2 linked regions of the Macaca mulatta genome follow. Each later gene encodes a partner of the first gene's protein in a complex. Links are inferred from orthologs where the notes say so. Each region holds a gene or a part of one and is shown on either strand. Other genes may lie near its edges.

What was found. The genes of interacting proteins can lie anywhere in the genome.
Region 2: RUVBL1 (region 1) and UXT share a complex: the UniProt entries of both Homo sapiens proteins name them as parts of the PAQosome complex. The link is inferred for Macaca mulatta from reciprocal best matches to the Homo sapiens genes RUVBL1 and UXT.

What each region holds. Positions count from the first base shown.
Region 1 is NC_133407.1:155,848,559-155,854,568, reverse strand, and holds the start of RUVBL1 (ruvB-like 1), read right to left. Parts: upstream 3,813-6,010; 5' UTR 3,734-3,812; coding exon 3,593-3,733; exon of another isoform or gene 2,497-3,592; intron 1,173-2,496; exon of another isoform or gene 1,000-1,172; intron 1-999. UniProt on the Homo sapiens protein: Possesses single-stranded DNA-stimulated ATPase and ATP-dependent DNA helicase (3' to 5') activity; hexamerization is thought to be critical for ATP hydrolysis and adjacent subunits in the ring-like structure contribute to the ATPase activity.
Region 2 is NC_133426.1:47,679,591-47,685,696, forward strand, and holds the start of UXT (protein UXT), read right to left. Parts: upstream 3,527-6,106; 5' UTR 3,483-3,526; coding exon of another isoform or gene 3,271-3,482; coding exon 3,173-3,270; exon of another isoform or gene 3,161-3,172; intron 3,127-3,160; exon of another isoform or gene 2,743-3,126; intron 2,213-2,742; coding exon 2,131-2,212; intron 1,989-2,130; coding exon 1,921-1,988; intron 1,639-1,920; coding exon 1,531-1,638; intron 1,326-1,530; exon of another isoform or gene 1,159-1,325; intron 697-1,158; exon of another isoform or gene 479-696; intron 1-478. Other genes in the region: uncharacterized protein LOC144338585, read left to right, coding at 3,269-3,482. UniProt on the Homo sapiens protein: Involved in gene transcription regulation. Acts in concert with the corepressor URI1 to regulate androgen receptor AR-mediated transcription. Together with URI1, associates with chromatin to the NKX3-1 promoter region.

The sequences.
Region 1 (6,010 bases):
TTTTACTCTACATAAATAATAGGAAGCCACTGAAAAGGTCTTGAAGACTACATGTCATGTTATAATTTGTTTTTAAAACATGGTGCTGGCTACTGTATGAAGAATGCACAGTATGAGTACAAGTAGAACACTGATTTCTGGCCCAGGGTACAGGGATAGACACCAGGGGCCCAAATACCTCTTGAATTTGGGAACAAAACTGTGTTTATATTCATATACATTTTTTTCCAGGGAAAGGATCCATAGATTTCATCAAATTCCCAAAGTAACCTACTAAGCGGTAAGAATCAATGACATAGAGTACTAGCTGGTCATCAGTGAACACTGTAAATACTGATTGTGAAGTTAAGCCTATGGCACTATTAGATCCATTGAATATGTTTTGAATCCTCAAGATTAAATTACTTTATCATCTGTTAGTATATTTTAAATACATTATAAATCTCTGAATTTTATTAACCATTTGCAGTACACGTGTGTATATATACATACACATATTCCATAAATGGGCTACGGACCATCATATATTTTAGAATATTTGACTATAAGGGGGGAACACTGAGAAAGTTACACTAGCTGAGCATCTATATCTCAAGACTGCATAATATAAGGTTTGCTACACTGATTTAATAACTGAATATGTGACTATCTAAAAGGTGCTCTTCTCTCTGGGCAGTGACCACACTGCCAGAGTCTTGTGAATACATCTTACCTCTTCTACCTCTATTCCTCATGGACAGTGAAGTACCTTGGTCTCACACTTATAGCAGCCCCTCAAAAAATATGTCAGGACTACAGGTGCCTGCCACCACACCCAGCTAATTTCTTGTATTTTTAGTAGAGATGAGGTTTCACCGTGTTAGCCAGGATGGTCTCAATCTCCCGACCTTGTGATCCGTCTGCTACTGGGGAGGTTGAGGCAGGAGAATGGCGTGAACCTGGGAAGTGGAGCTTGCAGTGAGCCAAGATGGCGCCACTGCACTCCAGCCTGGGCGACAGAGTAAAGCTCCCTCTCAAAAAAAAAAAAAAGAAAAGTAAGGAATATGTGTGTGTATGCTATATCCATCCCATTTCCACTTCAGTTACCAAAGCACACTGCCCTTAATAGAACCTAGAAGATATTCTTCAGATGCTACTTTTTCAGATGGAGTCTCACTGTCACCCAGGCTGCAGTGCAATGGCGCAATCTCAGCTCACTGCAACCTCCGCCTCCCAGGATCAAGTGAGTCTCCTGCCTCAGCCTCACGAGTAGCTCAGACTACAGGCACATGCCACCACACCTGGCTAATTTTTGTATTTTTAGTAGAGACAGGATTTTGTTATGATGGCCAGGCTGGTCTCGAACTCCTGACCTCAGGTGATCCACTTGCCTTGGCCTCCCAAAGTGCTGGGATTACAGGTGTGAGCCACTGCGCCCAGCCCAGATGCTATATTTCTAAACAGATAAAAAGCCTAGCCAGGCGCGGTGGCTCATGCCTGTAATCCCAGCACTTTTGGAGGCCGAGGCGGGTGGATCACCTGAGGTCAGGAGTTCAAGACCAGCCTGGTCAACAAGGTGAAACCCTGTCTCTACTAAATATACAAAAATTAGCCGAGCATGGTGGTGGGCGCCTGTAATCATGGCTACTCACGAGGCTGAAGCAGGAGAATCACTTGAACCCGGGAGGCAGAGGTGGCAGTGAGCCGAGATCGCACCATTGCACTCCAGCCTGGGCAACAAGAGCGAAACTTCATCTCAAACAAAAACAAAAACAAAAACAAAAAAACCTACTATGATCTTTCCATACAACCTTGTCATATAATCCTCAGCACTGAAGCTCTTTGGAAAACTCAAGGTAGAAGAGACTTTACAAACCTTGGATATGTGCTTTTATTTACAGACCAGGACCTCTTCCATCTATTCTCCCTCAGTTTCCACTCCAACTTCTCTCAGGTGAGATAAGCTTGAATTCTAACATTTAAAAAGAATTGGAAGGGTCTTTAAATGATCACCTAGTCTAACTCTCATTTTTCAGGTTACTGATGTGACCAGAATCACACAAGAACCTGGTAGCTGAGGTGGGTCTTAAGCATACAACATCAGTTAAGAGCATGGACTCTGGGATTAAATACATAGACTTGAGTTAAAATACTCTCCCACTTACCAGATGAGTAACCTTGGACCTACTTACTTGACCTCTATGAACCAGAATTTCCTCACTTGAACAGAGTTCATACTAGTCAATGGCACACATGTTAAAGGGTGTAGGGGTGAAGTGTAGTGATGCCTGCAATTCACCTTGAAATGTAAAAGTGGATTGGGAGAGGCACACATGGAAAGATATATGATAAAGCAGCATAGTAAAATGTTAATCATAGAATTTAGGTACACAGGTACTTACTATACAAGTCTTTCAACTTTTTTTGTATGTCTGAAAACTGTCATACTAACGCAGGGAAGGGACAACTAATTCGTTGGATATGACAAGGCAATGGACACACAGCTACTTAGCACAGTGCTTGGCACATGGAAAGCACTCAACCAATGTTAGCTACTTGCAGTAATAGCTGCTTAGTAAGACAGGGTCAAACACTTCCTTTTTGGAAAGATGATGCTCAAAATGGAAACCCGAGGTTTTTCTTTTGAGCCCTTTCTATTTAGAAAAATCAGGCTAAGAGGCAGTAGCTTAACTTTGTATTAAGTGAAGATTTTTGTACAAGCTAAGGCTCTGCAAAGGCCAAGGGGCATGGCTGTGACCTCAGACAACAGCAGGCAGAGAGAGTGGCTATGTCATCATAGAGCACTGATTTGGGAGTCAGAAATACATGTGAGCGCAAATCCCCGCTTTACCATTACTAAAACGAGTGTCAAGTATATGGTGAAGTGCCCTCTCCCCAACTCAATATTTTCACCTGCCAAAAACCAATAATGTATGTGAAAGTACTTGGCATCACTAGCACTCAGAAAAAGGAGATTTAATTGGAATGGTCAAAAAGGATGCTTGGAGGGATAAATAAACCAGATTGCTCTTCTCCCTAATTCCCACTTCTCTCCCTCAGCTCCCGGGTCCTGGGAACCAAAACGAGCTTTTAAAGTTTAGTCAATTCCCTACTTTAAACCGTCCCACGGCCTGCCAGTGCGTTCACAATAAAATCCAATTTCCTTACCGTGGCCGACAAAGTTCTGCAGTAACTAACCCCACCAAGATAATCATTTTTGTTTATTGATGTACACGTTTATCGTCTCTCACTACACTAAAATGTAACCTCCTATCTTATCTCCCGCTGTATCCCGGGAAATAAGTGTCGCGAATAGAGCTCAGCATGGATTAAGGGGACGGGGTTGTGTGGGTTTCCATTAGTACTTGTCCATGAGTTGAAGCAAACCGTCAACTGGCCCCAGTGGGTGGTCATTAGTTTTCCTGGGGCGGCCCCTCACCCAGCTCCAGGGCGGCGCCCCTCCCCGAGCCCCTGGCCTATTTTCACTTCCCTGAGGCAACTATGGCGGGAGACCCCTGGCGCGCGCATCCCGCCCCGAGCCACCGACTTCAGCAGCTCTCTCGCCGCAGCAGCCCTGCTCGGAGCCCCCAACTCCCTGGTCCGCTGGCCACACCTCTCGCGCGTTCTCCTGGCCCACGAGCCCTGAGGCCGCCTGCTTGGCCAAGCCGCTCTCGTCCAGCCCCAGCCCTTTCACGTGGCTGTGGGAAGCGATGCGCTGCGTTTTCGTGGTGCTCTTCACCTCCTCAATTTTCATTTTGCGGACGCCGGGAGCTAAAACCAGCGTGGAAAACCAGCAGATAGGACAGTGCGCCCAGCGCCCGAGTTACCATGCGGCCGTTACTAGGGCAATTTGCAAAGGCCCGCCTAGGTTGGCCTTCCATTGGTGGAAGCGGGAACGCCTCCGCTCTCCATAGGCTCACGGCTGCGCCCATCGCGGCTGCTGCTGGAGCTCCAGTCACTCACTTCCGGCTGTGTCTCTGGGTTGGCTTCCCCCGCAGCCGGCGCTTCCTGCCCAGGCTGGGGTCGGTAGCACAGTGGGACCACGCCCCGGATTTGATTTCGGGCTGGGGCGTTGCACGAGGTAGTGGCCCCCGGGTACCACTCCTAATCCTTCCGTCCTATCCATTATCACGTTTGAACGTCATACTCTTACGCGAAGCTCAAGTTATTATTTCCGTTTTGGAAATAGAAGAACTGAGGTTCAGAGCTTAAACTGAGATTGGTTACTAACCAATGTTTTCTGACTCCCAGACCTTTGCATCTCGTCTGGAAAGGCCCAGCGCAACCCACCACTCCTTCCGTGGAATTGTCTTCCCCTGCTTCTAATCTCCATCCTCCGCCGAGAGATAAGGTTCCTGCTAAGTTCAGTTCAGTTGACTGTAAATAACATTTTGCAGTTTTCAAAACTCTACAGCCCTGTAAGGTAGTGTAATTACGAATGCAGCTACAGACAAGCAGAAAGAGGCCCATCCGCCCAAGAAAGCACCACAAAGAATCAGAACTAGAAATCTTCAGGCTTCAAAACCTATATAATAATGCTCATACTGTCCCATTATTTCAGCTGAGACAATCAGCCAGCAAATTGTCCCTTCAGGTTTCATAATGATATTCGCACAACCTGCACCACAATTGTACTTGTCATCCATCCATCCATCCATCCATTTAACAAACACGAGCCAGACACCACAATGCACTGGGGATACAGGGATAAAAGTCTTGATGAGCTTACTCCTTGCTTAGAAAACTTGTAACATGAGATGTGGTGAGACAGGTACACCCAGGTGGCAAGAAGACCAGAGCAGAAGCCCCAGGAACAGCCTGGAGAGCCAGGGAAAGCACCATGAAGGTGATGTTGCCTTGGCTGAATTCTGACAAATGGGCGAGATTTCCTCAGAAGCAAATGGTATGACACCATTTTTACAGAAGAAGATACTAACATCCAGAGGAAGGGAAGGACTTGCCCAGAGTGCAGGAGAGTTTATATTAGAATTGAGACAGACCTGAAATCACACTTCCTTGTACATCTTGATTCTAAGTTTTGAATCTAGGTTTCTATATTTTTTTTCTTTTCTTTTGAATCTAGGCTTCTAGTGATTTGCATAATTACTGGGTCAATGTTTGTCTCTCCCAGTAAACTGCAGGCCTTTTGAGGGTGTAGACCACATTTGATTGTTTACCATTTTAACCTAAGTGCCTGGCACACAGCCTAAAACACAGCTCACAATTAAGGCTTCTCATGAATTCAATTAATGTTCTAGACCACACACAAACACATACACTTGAATTTATCAGTTTTGCTGCATGTATTTTATACGGTGGCTTTTGTAGGTCTTGGTAATGATTTCCATCAGAGAATGGAATCTTCTGGCATTTTCAGGGCCCAAAAGAACAGAGGCTCAGGCGGCCTTGGAAGGCTGAGGTTGTTACTAGTGGCATGTGGTTCATCAGCACTAGAGACAGCACCTCACAAAGTTGCTTAGCCCCTCATTGACTTGTTCCTGGTCATTACTCTTAGATAAGAAGCAATTCCTTTTTCTGTATGGAGAAGGAAAATTTTCCACCAACTAGTAGTCAAAGTGAAGCATTCTATGGGACTGACTTCTTTGTGTATTGTCCAATTAGGGAAAAAACCATTTTTTACACTTATTATTTTGGCCCTAATCTTTGTATCTTTTGGCACAAAGAGAAGGATTTCCTTCTAGCCCAAAAAGAGGAAGGGAGAATGAGGATTTTAGAGCACAGAGGAATATCCCCTGGATTACTTGGTCTAGTGGTTTTCAAACCACATTCCCAGCAGTTGTGGAATCTTTCTGTGGCCAGTACAGGTGGGGAAAGGGAATGCTAAGAGTGTGGGATACCAGCTCCATGCCCCCACTTCCACCAGAGTTGTTCCTTCTTTTTTTTTTTTTTTTTTTTTTAGTGCTAAAGAACAGTTAAAAAATCACTGATGGGCCAGGTGTAGTGGTCCACGCCTATAATCCCAGCACTTTGGGAGGCTGAGGCAGGTGGATCACCTGAGGTCAGGAGTTCG
Region 2 (6,106 bases), on another chromosome or scaffold:
AGTTTCTCTAGCATGCCAGGCACACTATTCCTCTTGCCAGGAATGCTCTTCCCCAGATAGCCCCATGGCTTCTTCACTCAGTCAAATGATTCAAATGTCCCTTCATCTGGGAGGCCCTCCCTAGCTACATTTCAAATCCCTCATCTATGCTCCCAACTGCCCTTCCCTGCACAAAACCATAAATCAAGCTTGTCCAACCCTCAACCAGTGGGCCACATGCGGTCCAGGACGGCTTTGAATGCAGCCCAACACAAATTCATAAACTTTCTTAAAACACTATGTGATTTTTTTTGCAACTTTTTTTTTTTTTTTTTTTTTTTTTTAGTTCATCAGCTATCATTAGCATTAGTGTATTTTATGTGTGGCCCAAGACAAATCTTCTCCCAATGTAGCCCACGGAAGCCAAAAGATTGGACACTCCTGCCTTAAACTCAACTGGAGCCCACACTTTCTCTCCCCATCACCACCAACACATATCTGCTTCAATAACCACTTTAATTTGCTTCCAGCATACCCTTTCAAATTATTTCAACAAACACAAAGCCAGGCACAGCAGTGCGCCTATAGTCCCAGTTACTTGGCAGGCTGAAGCAAGGGGACTGCTTGAGCCCAGGAGTTTGAGGACGTAGTATGCTATGATCGCAGCTGTAAACAGTCACTGCATTCCAGCCTGGGCAACACAGGGATACACCATCTCTTAAAAACAAAAACAGAGTGTTTACTCTATGTTTGTACTACTCTAGTCACCCGGGATATAAACCAAAGCTCCCCCTTTGTAAAACTTACATTCTAATTGGAGGAGACAATATGAGAAAGCAAGAAATTACACAGTAAATATTAGGGGGTGATAAGTGTTAGGGAAAAAAAGTAGACGGAGGGGAATCAAGCATGCCAGGGGCTGTGATTTTAAAGTTAGGTTACAGAGGGCCTCATCGAGGAAGCGACATTTAAGCGAGATGAGTGAGGAGAAAGGAAGCCATGTGGGTACTGGGGAAAAGGGCAGTGCAGGCAGAGAGAACAGCTACGGCAATTGCCCTGGGGTGGGATCATTCTTGGGGTGCTGAAAGAAGCATGTGAAGGTCAGTGTGGCAGGAACACAGTGAATGAATAGTAAAATTAGCAGGAAGTGAAATCACAGGTAACTAGTTTTCTTGTTACCAACTCTAACAGGCTGAGACCTCATGGATCTGGTCATAATTGTATTTATGTATAACAGTATAGTCCTTCTAGATTTTAAGCCTTCAAGGAACTCTTCTGTCTTGTTCACTGCTGCATTCCCACTGCTAAGCACAGTGCCTGGCATACAGAAGATTCCCAATAAATGTCTGCATGAATGAACGATACAAAGATCATTTTTTGAATGCTTATTATGTGCTATACATGGGCTTTGCAACCACATTTCTTCAGCCCCAGCTCTGAGGAGGAGGGGAGATGAGTCCTTAAGTATCATTCTAGGCAGCCATGGGGAAAGTGAGAAGAGTGTTGGAAATGGTGGTATTTTTACACACTATCCTCATGGAATGGACTTACTCTGTGAGGAGAGAGCTCTTACGATCAATGAACTTGAGAGCTTCTGCCAGTGTCAACTCCAGGAAAAAACCATATCCCAGGGCCACATAGATGCGTGAAGTATCTGGGCTGAGGAAAGAGAGGTTAGAGGAAGTGCGGGGGAAGTCCTTATCACTGTTTAGCAGAGTGTATGTTTTGCTCCCCACCCTTCCCCAAATTGAGGCTCTGGGAAGGCAGGGATTTTGTCCTATTTTATTCACTGTCACATCCCCAGCGCCTAGCTTATATCCTACTGGGATAATAAACCTCGTATAGTGCCTGGTACATAGAAGATACTCAAAAAAATATATGTTGCATGAGGGAAGGGGTAAGCTGAACCCTGTGGGCTCAGAGGGGCGGGTAGACACTCACACCACTGTGTCAACGAAGAAGTTACAGCCCAAATCCACCTGCATATATAACTCCGAGTGCTTAGCTTCCTGTGGGGCCAGGGAAAAAGAGGTAGGGGTCAGTGGTGAACTCTTAGGTCAGGTGACAGGTTTGGCTCTGGAGTCTCTCTTCCCATTTCCCTCCCTTACCCACACACACCAAAAAAATGATACCCAACCCCATAGTCTTTACCTGGAGTCGCTCAATGACATTTCTCAGTTGAAGGTATTTGGCCAGCTGCTCATATACCTTGTCTCGATGGTCCAGCACCTTTCTGATGGGATGAAAGTACAATGGTGACCAATAGGCAGCCCCATTCCTCCTAGTATACCTCATATCATGACCCTCTGAGACTCTCACGTCACCATACGCTGAAAAGGCTTTTTAGTGTACAAGTTAATTTTGGGCTCTGGGTCAGACTGCCTGGGTTTGGATCTGGGCTCTGTCCTTTATAGATGTGTGGCTTTGGCAAGTAAGGAACCTGTTTGGGACTTGGTTTCCCCATTTATAAAATGCAGATGACAGTATTACCTTGTAGAGTCATTAGGATTAAATGAGCATTTACTCAAAGCATCTAGAATAATGCCTACCAAATGGTAAACTCTCTACATGTTAGCTATTATTACTATTACTACACTCCCAATACTGAACTCCAATCATAATGTCCCATCCTCACCCTAGAAAAATCCTCCATCCCTTTTAGGATGCTCATAGTCCTAGTTCTGAACACCTTACTTCTTGCTTAGATTAACAAAAATTGCAATAATATTTCTTCATACTTATTGAACCTCTACTATGTTTCAGGCATCCATGCTACTAAATTATTTACAAAGATGGGACATATGAAAAACTCAAAACCACTGCATGGGGAAGGTTCCAGAAAACTCCCCATTTCACAGAGAAGTTTATAGGGCACAGAAAGGCGAGGTATGACGTATTCACAAGGATGAAGAATGGCCGAGCCAGGATTCGAACCTGAGAACTGTGGCTCCAGAAAACAAGCCCTAATCCGTCAAACATCGGAGGCCGCGCATGCGCTGACACGCCCCCTGCTATGAACGCCACGTCCCAGCCAAACTGCACCCCGGATATCATCACCACTTCACGCTCCAAGGAGCGCGGGGCCGGACTCTGAACGCCTCGCCCACCAATCCAAAGGGTTGGCCCTAACTCTGAACGCCCCACCCACCACGTGGAATGTTCCAGACGCCCCGCCCTCTGCACTGTCACTCACCGCAAGTCCCGCTGCAGCACGTCACTGATGAAGGTCTCGTAGCGCAGTACTTTCTCCCCCGTGGCCTCCACCGCCCGCCGCTTAGGGGGCGTCGCCATGATGGGCTCCTGGGGAGTGGGGAGGGGGAAGACCACGTTGACCGCTCCAGTTTGGCCTCACACACAGTTCATCTCTACCCTCTCAACGCTGGGAATCGACTTGTCCGGCTCAAGCTGGGGGCTCAGCCTTCCGCCCCTCCCAACTCGGGGACCCGGCCACCCAGGGACACCCAAGCGCGGCCTTTACCTCAGGGCCGCCAGCAATAAAAACGGTTGGTAGGAACCGCGGCTTCCGGGTGGCGCGGGTGAATGACGTAAGTGGCAAGCGCGCTGGCCAACCAAATAGCCAGCTGGGGAAGACGGGCCAAAGGGGAGAAGAGAAGGGCGGGGCTTCACGGAATCCGAGGAGATCAAAGATGACTAGGGCGTGGGAGCAGGCCATCTGGCAATAAACCGGCCAATGGGGGACTGCAAAAGCGGCGCGTGGAGCCTATGGAGACCGTGCGTCGCTGGTGAGGGTGGGATTTAATGGGATTTGGCGGTTCTAAGTTAGGCGCGACGCACAGGTAGAGGTAGAGAGAGGAAGTGAAGAGTTTAATATTTAAAAGGACCTAAGAATTGACTATGGTTCTGGTCTATAAGGAAGATCCCGTGTGATCTGTCGGCTTGGATATTGATTTGTCATACGGGAGGTTTGGGTTTCACTCCTGGCAATGGGACTGAGTATGAGCACTTAAAAGGTTTTAAACAGAGACAGATTTTCTAAAATTCATCTTTGATAACTCCAGCTCTGTACCTGCAACCTATAACTGAGGCTCAAGCGGAAATTGACAACGCACTATATCTAATCACCTCGTTTGATAGTCAAATGGAGAGGGTGGCTGAAGTCCTCTGCAGAATATTGGCCATCTTGTAGTTAGGCATAGTTCCCATGTTTTTATTTAAATGGTAAGGTTTTTGTGAATTTATTCTTATGCACTAGAGTGACTGAGTGAATTTGTTTTTCAGTTTAGATTTTTTTTAAAAAAATTATACTTTAAGTTCCAGGGTACATGCACACAACGTGCAGGTTTGTTACATATGTATACATGTGCCATGTTGGTGTGCTGCACCCATTAACTCATTAGGTATATCTCCTAATGATATCCCTCCCCCCTCCCCCCTCCCCACAATAGGCCCCGATGTGTGATGTTACCCTTCCTGTGTCCAAGTGATCTCATTGTTCGGTTCCCACCTATGAGTGAGAACATGCAGTGTTTGGTTTTCTGTTCTTGTGATAGTTTGCTGAAAATGATGGTTTCCAGCTGCATCCATGTCCCTACAAAGGACACGAACTCATCCTTTTTTATGGCTGCATAGTATTCCATGGTGTATATGTGCCACATTTTCTTAATCCAGTCTATCACTGAAATGCCTTAAATTCAGGTTAGATTTTCAAACAAGAACTTATAACCCAGCAAGAATGGGCCTTTGCCTGGAGAAGAATCCAGACCATGGGATGAATCTCCAAATGCTATTTCCATCTATAGAGCTTAGAGCACCCACCCCTACCAAGGAAGTCTTCCCAGATAATTTGTGTTTCATATGTAAAAGCAAGTTTTTTTTTCAAATGCTGAAAACCCAAGCAAGTTAAGCCTGCCTTTCCTTCCTTCCTTCCTTCCTTCCTTCCTTCCTTCCTTCCTTCTCTTTCTTTTCTTTTCTTTTCTTTTCTTTTCTTTCTTTCTTTCTTTCTTTCTTTCTTTCTTTCTTTCTTTCTTTCTTTCTTTCTCTTTCTTTCTTTCTCTTTCTTTCTTTCTTTCTTTCTTTCTTTCTTTCTTTCTTTCTCTCTCTCTCTCTCTCTTTCTTTCTTTCTTTCTTCTTTCTCCTTCCTTCCTTCCTTCCTTCCTTCCTTCCTTCCTTCCTTCCTTCCTTCCTTCCTTTTCTTTCTTCTTCTTTTTTTTTTTGACAGAGTCTTTGTCCCCTAGGCTGGAGTGCAGTAGTATGACCATGACTCACTGCAGCCTCAACCTCCCAGGCTCAAGTGATCCTCCCGCCTCAGCCTCCCGAGTAGCTGGGACTACCGGCATACCGATGCCCATCTAATTTAAAAAAAAAATTTTGTAGAGACAAAGTCTATGTTGCCCAGGCTGGTCTCAAACTCCTAGGCTTGAGTGATTTGCCTGCCTCGGCCTCCCAAAATGCCAGGATTATAGGCATGAGTTAGCACACTTGGCAAAGTTAAGCTTTCCTTTGCCCTTAGAACGAGATAATTGTAAAATGAAAACATTGAGACTAATTTTTTTTGTCTGTAAATCTCATGTTACATATAGTTTAAATTACATTGAGTGTGATTGGAATAGATACTAGGTAGACAAATATTATCTAGTTAATCTATACCTACCACTTTCCTGTGAAAAGAGAGAAAAGAAGACACTTACATTTATTTAACAGAGAACACAGTTCTGATGGGCTGGAGATGAGTCTATGTAAGTTTATTAACTTACATTTCACAAAAGAGCATTTTTTACTTAAAAATATATTTCCAACTTTGTTTTTACATTTCAGACCTACAGAAAAGTTGACAGTGAACACTCATATACCCTGCACTTAGGTTAGCCAATTGTTTTATTTTGAATTTTTAAAATTTGTTTAGAGGCAGGATCTTGCTCTCTTGCCTAGTCTAGAGTGCAGTGGTGTGATCTTGGCTCACTGCAACCTCCGCCACCGGGCTCAAGCGATCCTCCCGCCTAAGCCTCCTGAATAGCTGGGACTACAGGCATGAGCCACCATGCCCAGCTAATTTTTTGTAGAAATAGCGTTTCACCATGTTGCCCAGGCTGTCTCGAACTCCTGAGCTCACTCAGTTCACCCAACTTGTTCTCCCAGGGTGCTGGGATTGCAGGCGTGAGCCACTGCA